2 linked regions of the Caenorhabditis elegans genome follow. The protein of the gene in region 1 purifies or fractionates together with the protein of each later gene. This does not show direct contact. Each region holds a gene or a part of one and is shown on either strand. Other genes may lie near its edges.

Region 1 (4,086 bases):
GCAAATCGGCAAATAGCCTGAATTGAAAATATCCGGCAAATCGACAAACCGGCAAGTTGCCGGAATTGAAAATATCAGGAAAACCGGCAGTTTGCCGATTTGCCGAGTTTGTCGACAAAATTTGCCAAAATTGCCAAATGGCAATTGCCGCCCACCTATTGCCGGTTCAGTATTTTAATGAAACACTTCAAAATTTTAACATTTTTCAACATTTTCAGTCAAATTTTTGGTGAAAAAAATTCGAGAATCGCTGGTTTAAACCCTCACCAATAATTAAAAAATATTTGAAACACCATTGAATCCGCTCGTTGAAATTTTTAAAAGTTGTTTTTTTTTAATTTTTGAAAAATTTTACTACGATTTTTTTTTTCAATTTTAGGAAATTCATGTAGTTGCTTGAATTTTTTCCTTCCTCTTTCTGAATTTTTTTTGTATTTTTTGAAAATTCGGAAATAAAGGCTGTCAAAAAATGTAATTTTACAATAAATTGTATTCTCGCTTTTACATATTGAATTGAATTGAATTTATTACGATTGAAATCATGATAATAAACGTAATAAACATACGATAATAAACATACAGAAAACTAATAAACATACAGAAAATGAATTATCATCTGAAAAGTTGATTAGTTGGTACATGAATGTGCGGGTGTCAGGGAGATGAATAATGGGTAAAAGTATTAAACATGCATAGGACATGAGGTGCCAAAATAAGATTCATTGCGCAAGATTCATTGCGAAATAAGATTCATGTCCGAAGTTGACTTTTTTGGAATTATCGTCCTTTATTACATATATTGGTAGTTTATCTCATTTACTTTCGTTGATATAAGGTATATTTAAAGCCGATAGGTAACCAATTTCGATAATTTTTGGTTCCATATCGGCTAATATAACATACATAACATACATAACATGTGATATAACATACATATCTGAAAAGTCCCCTATTTTTGACAAAAAAACAACACCCAAAAATACCAGAAATGTCAAAAACTGCAGCGACCGACATCTTGTGAGTTCGCTTTTCCTGATATACTTCAATTGACTGGTTTAAAAACTCAGCTATCGATGGGCAAATTTTCGGCAAGTTTTCGGCATCAGGCGACCAAATTGCAAATCTTCGCAGTTGGCCAAACGTATAATTTTGTTGAACTCATATTTTAGAGCTTTTTTCAGTTTACAGTGTAATTTTTGCATTTTTCTGAATGCGAATTTTTTTTTCTCAAATTTTCACGTCTTCACACAGTTGCAACTCAATGTCAATTGTTAGACGGTTATTTTTTGATTTTCTTTTGGCCAGAAAAAATTGTCCAAAAAGCTTGTTTTTTTATCAAATGTAAAAAAAAACTCATCTAATAGTAAAGCTAAAATTTTATTCCAGTAGGGTCCAGAGTACCCGATGGGCACACCGGCCACACTCCAACTACACAGCTGACCCGCGCTTCTCTCCTCTTTTTCGTTTGGGTACGCAGTTGACGTCATATCTTCTTTCTTTTTTTACATGCCAGCTTCATGTTGTGCTTTATATTTTGTCTTTTTGATTTTCCAGCAATCGTTGTATTTTTTACGTTTCTAGTACAAAAATGGAGAAGGTCAGATTTTTTTTTCTAAACACAAATTTGATTAAATTTGATAATATCTCGTGAATAAAAATGTTTCAAATTGGTGATTTATGATACAAATTCTTTCAAGAAAATCAATAATGATTATGTCAAAAGGAGCATTTTCCACGCTACCCGCCACCGAGCCGAAGTTGTATTCAAAGTTGGTGCAGTTCCAAACCAAAAGGAGAAGATTGGTAGATTTAAATGCAGTTTATGAGGTAGGTTGACACTGAAATACTGATTTCTCAATTTAAAAGTCAGTTTTTCAGGACTCATTATCATCTGGCTCCCCATTGGGTACTGTGATTGGATTCCATGGAACTCCAGGGTCTCACAGGGATTTCAAGTATGTCAGGCAGCGATTGGAGCACATGAATATTAGATTTATTGGTATTAACTACCCAGGATTCAAGCAAACTCCAGGTAGTTTCAGTTAATTAATAAAAAACCATCAAATAATTAAAAATAAATTTCAGCGTACCCAGGTCAACACTTCGGAAACTGGGAACGAAATAGTTACTCAGAAGCTCTGTTAAACGAGCTAGATGTGCCGGGAAAAGTGATCATAATGGGGCATAGCAGAGGATGTGAGAATGCACTGATAACAGCAGCTAATCGGAAACCTCATGGACTAGTGATGGCTAATCCAACAGGGTTGAGGATTAATAAAGGGTCTCGTCCGAAGGGAAAGTTGGAGTCGCTGATTTATTTACATAAGAAATTGCCGAAAAAGATTGGAGATGCCATTTTGTATAATTGTGAGTATAAGCAAAATGAGAAATATGCCATAGGCCACTACCAAAAAATGTTTCAATGTGGTGTTTTACTACTGTTGAGGCTCGTCAAAATGCTTGAAAGTTGGATTTTTTCATAAACTTTTTCATTTTGGGAGCGTTTTTGATTAAAAAAAAAGCAAAAATCTGAAAAGTTTTCTGGATGTTGCCTACCCCTAGAGCAATTTTACGAGCTTCAGAACAATTGGAAAAATGTCCTGTAAAAATAAAATTTGAGATCGGAAATTTTCTAGTTCAAAACGCAGCAAAATTATTGGTAGTGGCTTATTTAAAGTGTAGTTTTGGCAGTTTAGGAATACGTATTTTCGTTAGACCTAAGTTTTTAAAAGTGGTGTACCGAAATCTGAGACTTTACTTTTTTAGATCCAAAATGACCCAAAACTACCAAATTTCGTAATGAGATGTTCTGAAAATTTTTCAAATAAAAGTTATGTCGGCTCAATGTTTTAGAAAAAACCCGTTTTTGAGAAACTTTCAAAACATCTCATTATGAAAGTCGATGGTTTTGGGTCATTTTGGGTCTAAATAAGCAAAGTCTCAAATTTCGGTACTCCACCTTTAAAGGATGTTCGAAATTTTCAGGGATACTTCAGATCTTATAAATTATTTCAATTTCCAGTAATGAAATTGGTTGGATTCAAAATTCATGATGGTGAAGAAGCCGTGGCGGTTATTCGAGCAATTATGAACTGTGACCTGGAAAAGCAACTGGAATACATTCTGAAATTAAATGAACTGCCCACAAAGACTATGATCACTTTTGGCGGAAGTGATCATTTAATTGAAAAGGAAATTGTTTTTGAAGCACTCAAAAAGTATCAGGGACTCGCGCATTTTGTAAGTTTTGTGATAGAAAAACTTGAAAAATTGGAAGGAATTTCAGAATTTCAAAGCGAATATCACAGAATCCGAAAAGCAGAAAATAATGGAAAGTTTCAAAAATCAAAAAGGAACATCTGTATTTATTGCAAAGGATAATCATTTTCAAAATAAGAAGCGGGCGGATTTATTGGCAGATGCTGCTAGATCAATGTTATTAAATTAATGTTTTGAAATTTTCAAATTGTTTAACTTTACAAACAAAAGGGAAATCTGCAACATGAACAATATTTTCAACGACTATAATTTGAGAACTGTAATAGTAATTTTATTCAATAATAAACTTACAAAAAATATTTAGCTTTTGAAATACTGCCCCAGAAAAAGTCAGCAAAAATTACAAAAGACAACGAATTTTAGGTGAACCAAAGTTTTTAATCGGCAAAAAAAAGAGTTTTTCAATTGAAGGTTGATGAAATATTTATTCAAAGTTTTTTAGGGAAGATAATACTTATAAACGAGAGGATAAGAGGAGGAAACTGGAAAATTTGAGGTTGGTGATTCTCTAAAGAGAAGGATTTACAGCTCTGGTTACATCGATGAGCTCATCTAAATCAACTTGACCATTTCTGTCGATATCGGTGTAACGGAAAGTTTTGCGAATCCCTTCGGCAGACAGCCGTGCTTGAAAGTTGCTGAAGAGGGGTTCCAGTTCAGCAACAGAGATGAAGCCATTTCCGTCTTCGTCAAACTCTTGGAACACCTTTTTAAAATTCTCTTCACTCTGTGCCAAGCCTCTTAGCGACAACATAGCTCCTGTTAGCTCCTGTAAAGCATCTATACAAATTGTTTCGAACATTATTA
Region 2 (4,793 bases), on another chromosome or scaffold:
CAGGAATCGAGTTCTCGCCAGACAAGATGCTCCAAGGACGTATCTTCTCGTACACCGACACTCATTTCCACCGCCTTGGACCAAACTACATCCAGCTTCCAGTCAACTGCCCGTACCGCTCCCGTGCTCATAACACCCAGCGTGATGGTGCAATGGCTTATGACAATCAGCAACATGCTCCAAACTTCTTCCCGAACAGCTTCAACTATGGAAAGACTCGTCCGGATGTCAAGGATACCACATTCCCAGCCACTGGAGATGTTGATCGTTATGAAAGTGGAGATGACAACAACTATGATCAACCCCGTCAATTCTGGGAGAAGGTGTTGGATACCGGGGCTCGGGAGAGAATGTGCCAGAACTTTGCAGGGCCGCTCGGGGAATGTCATGATTTCATTATTAAGGGAATGATCGATCACTTTTCAAAGGTTCATCCAGATTTTGGAGCTCGTGTCAAGGCACTCATCCAGAAACAGGCTCGCTCTCATATCTAAACTTTCTTGAAATTAAAAGAAATTAAATGTACTTTTTATTGTAATAACTTGCTTTATTGTGTATAAAAAATATGATAATTAAAAATAAATAAAGTTAATATAACTTAAACTCTCCACCAACTCACAGCGGATGTAAAGCTCTAAACTTATCAGCAAGCCTCTGGCCCAACAGCGAGTCATGCTTCAGGGTCTCCCTCTCCACCAGCAGCTCAGGCGTCAAAGCCCAATTCTTGGGATCCTTGCTCAGAATGCAAGACTGTATCAGTGTCTGAACGAAAAGGTCCCGCTGGGCATGAGATCCTCCGATTTGGACAACTTTATCGCGAATTGGGTACATAGTCTCGGCAGCTGTGTCGTAGTCGCAGCGGGCAAAGTCAAGCATCCCGTCGTAGAGGGGCATCCCGATGGTCTTGCTGATTTGGGCATTGTCCTCGGATAGCAGCCTGAAAAATGATAGTTTGATATGTGGTAAGTTTGACCTAGGAGCTGATTATCACATCTAATTCCACATATCCTAACACCTTTCGATACAACGTTTTTAAATTTTCGCCAATCACGGTTTGATCTACAAAAAATGCGGGAAATTTTCCCTAAAAAATGTGACGTCAGCAGGTTCTTTATCATGCGAAATCAGCAAAGACGTCTGCGTCTAAATTCCCGCAATTCTCGTAGATCTACGTAAATCAAATCGAAATGGGACAGCTCGACACCACATGCCTACCAAGTACATACAACATGTCAAAATCTTTCATAGATTTGTAGCTTCTCTCTTTTCGGATAAGGCGAACTGGATAGTGTTACTCACGATGAATACTTCTCCAATGAATTTCTCAACTTCTTCTCCGTCTCCAAATCCTCCTGTCTATAAATTGCAAGCCCTAGGTGCACATCATTGAACACAATTGAGTGATTGTCGATGAACTTCGACAGATGCTCTATCTTCCTCCACCGATCCCTTCCAACATTGACACCTTCCAGTTCTAACCTCCACAGCAGTGAGCTGGCATCAACCATGTCTAGCAAGGAGTTGGTTTTGTTGAATCGATTCGCAATTTCTCGATCAAAAATCCCCAGCGCTGACTCATATTCTGCGTACTCAATGTGAAATAGTGCCGTGTGCCAGTAGTTGTGAGAGGCTAGCATCCAACCTTGCTGAAAGGGGAAGTATATTTACAATTAATTGAATAGATTGAAAAGTACCCTCCAATCATCCTCCGTTTTGTACATAAACTCTTTTCCCTCTTTGTGCCGCCCGTTCATCTCGAGGACGTGAGCCTTTGCGTGGGAAGCCCAGCAATCAAATCGGTTCAGTTGTAGGGCCCGATCTGCTTGTGTTTCAGCATCATCGTAGATACCACATTCTTCAAGGCCAAAAGCATACATGCCATGGAGATAGCTAAAGAAAAAAAATGTTGGGGATAGAAGCCGGTTTCGAAGCATGTAGATATAAAACCTATTTAGTTATTTTTGTTTTAATTTTCATATTTAGTTGTGAATAGGCCTGAACCTAGCTTGAACTCCTAGACCTTATGAACCATAACCTCTTTTATTTAGATGGATTCAAATCCCACTCTAGACGCATTGGTTTTTTGAAATTCGGAAAATCTGAACGCAGCGCTTACTAGGACAGTTTTCTTGTTGTAGATGGCGCTATTTTAAAATGAAACCAATTTTAGAGACTAAAATATTTCGAAAATAGAAACAATTAAATCTCACCTATAGCATGGTAAATCTGCATTCCACTTGTGGATAACCTTCTCAATTGCGTTCTTCTTCCCTATCTGATTTCCATTGAAGAAATGAGCATCGTGTGAGAACTTCACTGCAATTAAATCTGTTGGGTAATCATCTAGAAGCTTGTCCCACTCGATGGCAGCTTCATGATGCTTTCTGAAAAACAGGAAAGTTTCAAAAAAATATCTCCTAAAGGAGCCCTTACCCTCTTCCCCACAAAATCGCTGCTTTGGCATGTCGCTTTTCTCTGGCGTTTCCATACTTTTCAGCGTCAATTTCTAGTTGATCCATTTTCTTGGCAAATTCGACATTTCGAGCAGCGGCTTCTGTGCCGAGCCCGGAGAGGCCCACTAGGAAAGTTCGGGCCATAACTGAAAATTCAGAGACTCCAAGTGCTAAACAAAAAACAAACTAACTTGCTTCAGGATCCGAAGCCACAAGCTTCTCGATCGATGTATGAAATCCGCCTAAACTGGTGCAATCCGACCAGGACACAAGCTGTCGAATGCAGGCATCCAACCATTTCGCATTCTCATCACTCGTAGTTGATAGTTCCAGACCAGCCGACTTCCAGCCTTCGCAATTGCGCAAATGATCGGCACACCATTCGGCCATTTTCTGAAGGAAGAGAGGAGGAATGGGCGGTAGGTCTAATGAACGATATGACGGGGTTAGATGATGCAAGTGGGGGAGGGAGGACTTGATAGGAAAGTTTAGAATTTTCGGATTTTTTTTGCATTGAAAAAGCACGATATTCTACTGTTGACATAGAGTTGCTCCGTTCGAAACTAAATTCATAATAAAATCGGCACGGAAAACAACATATCCTACGCGCAAGTTTCGCTAGGTAGGAAATTTCAAAATTTTCGGTAATTTCCAAAAATGGCTCTACATTATTCAGTTCTGATTTTAGACTTTATTTTTACATGAAAAAGTAAAAAAATAAACATTAAAGAACTGTGATCACCAGTTTTCTAGTTTTTCGCGATTTTTGATATACTGTAGCAATTTTGAAGTACCCAAAGTTAGTAGACAATCACAGTTGTTGAGAAAAAAAATTGTGACCTTATGAGAAATAAAATGGAGTATAACTTCAATCATAGCTTTTTAACATAAAAATTAGTAAAATTTGCACTTTAGATTTTCTAAAAAATTCCAAATTTTTACGATTTTTAATCTAAAGACCACGTTATCAACGGCCAAAAATGCGAAAAAACCATATAAAATTCTCGAAAAAAAACCTCTCAAAAACCTCTTAAAACTGCCAAATCTAAAAAAAGGAAAAGTGAAAACAAGAAAAGAAGGGTCAACAATTAGAGAGTATGCAGTCTAGAAGAGAGTGCCAGACGACTAGACGACAAACAGATATAGCACGTGCGTCTTCATTGGGACAAAAACAACATACATGCAAAATGGAAAGAAATAGGTAAGCTTGTGTGTCCAGGACATTTGTGATACTGATGTTGATAACACCTGGAAAATACGTGAAAGTTTTGACGATTAGTTGGGGTTTGATAAAAAAATTGAAAAAAACGGTTTTAGAATCAAACAATCAATTCGGGAAAAAGGGCATTTTTCAGGGTTATACAGGAAACAATAGCTTAGCAGACGACACTTTACGGGTCAAAATGAGTGTTATGATTTAACTGATATTAAAAAAAAAGCACCCGACATCTTCCCAGGACACTTTACAGGTCAAAACGGCATCAGCAGCGGACTGTTCCCGGGTTGATGGGAAGTGTATAATATAGAGCATGTATCCACCGACATTATATTTGGATAACTAGCAGCCGACACCTAACTGGTTTTTACATTGCGGCTGACATTTCCCGGGTTCCTGGGAAAAATATCCCATTTTCAGTGATACATCAGCCGACATCTCGCTGGCCAAAATTTATTTATAAAGTCTAAGAAAAGTTGAGTATAACTAAGCCAGCAGTGACTAATTTTTAGAGAGTGCCTAGAAGTTCACAGGTTTTATAAAAGCAACCGACGTCTCCAGGGTCGTTAAAAGCAGCACAATACAACTGTGATGCCAGTCGAAATTTCCCCGTAAAATGTCGGCTGCGAAATTGTGTTATTTAAAACTCATCCGTCTTGTATGTCTCATATCGCAGCCGATATCTCCCGGATTATGAAAAAATCGCGTGTTCTGAACTTTGACAACTTATTGCAAAAATCACGAACTCCTGGGGCCCGAAACTGTTGTAATGTAATAACTTTATTTATTGAAAAAACAAAAGGATATCGAAAATAATTACATACATATTATAACTTAAACTCTCCAGAAACTTACAACGGATGCAAATTTCTAAACTTATCAGCAAGTCGCAGTCCCACCAACGAGTTATGATGCAAGGCATTCCTCTCCGCCAGCAGCTCAGGTGTCAATCCCCAATTTTTGGGATCCTTGCTCAAAATGCAAGACTGTATCAGTGTCTGCACAAAAAGATCCCGCTGAGAATTAGATCCACCGATCTGGACGATTTTGTCCCTGATTGGGTACATAGTATCGGCTGCTGTGTCGTAGTCGCGACGAGCAAAGTTGAGCATTCCGTCGTAGAG

Evidence for each region.
Region 2: the proteins of K08D9.4 (region 1) and Y54G11A.7 fractionate together in Caenorhabditis elegans (co-fractionation; one large-scale study listed by BioGRID). This does not show direct contact.

What each region holds. Positions count from the first base shown.
Region 1 is NC_003283.11:3,198,035-3,202,120, reverse strand, and holds K08D9.4 (AB hydrolase-1 domain-containing protein), read left to right. Parts: upstream 1-1,697; 5' UTR 1,698-1,707; coding exon 1,708-1,827; intron 1,828-1,878; coding exon 1,879-2,032; intron 2,033-2,085; coding exon 2,086-2,367; intron 2,368-2,460; exon of another isoform or gene 2,461-2,481; intron 2,482-3,022; coding exon 3,023-3,240; intron 3,241-3,286; coding exon 3,287-3,448; 3' UTR 3,449-3,577; downstream 3,578-4,086. Other genes in the region: Y73C8B.5 (EF-hand domain-containing protein), read right to left, coding at 3,788-4,048.
Region 2 is NC_003280.10:14,295,358-14,300,150, reverse strand, and holds Y54G11A.7 (Tetratricopeptide repeat protein 38), read right to left. Parts: upstream 2,847-4,793; 5' UTR 2,844-2,846; coding exon 2,645-2,843; intron 2,600-2,644; coding exon 2,434-2,599; intron 2,385-2,433; coding exon 2,211-2,384; intron 1,891-2,210; coding exon 1,695-1,890; intron 1,647-1,694; coding exon 1,300-1,646; intron 938-1,299; coding exon 616-937; 3' UTR 530-615; downstream 1-529. Other genes in the region: ctl-2 (Peroxisomal catalase 1), read left to right, coding at 1-494; Y54G11A.4 (Tetratricopeptide repeat protein 38), read right to left, coding at 4,521-4,793.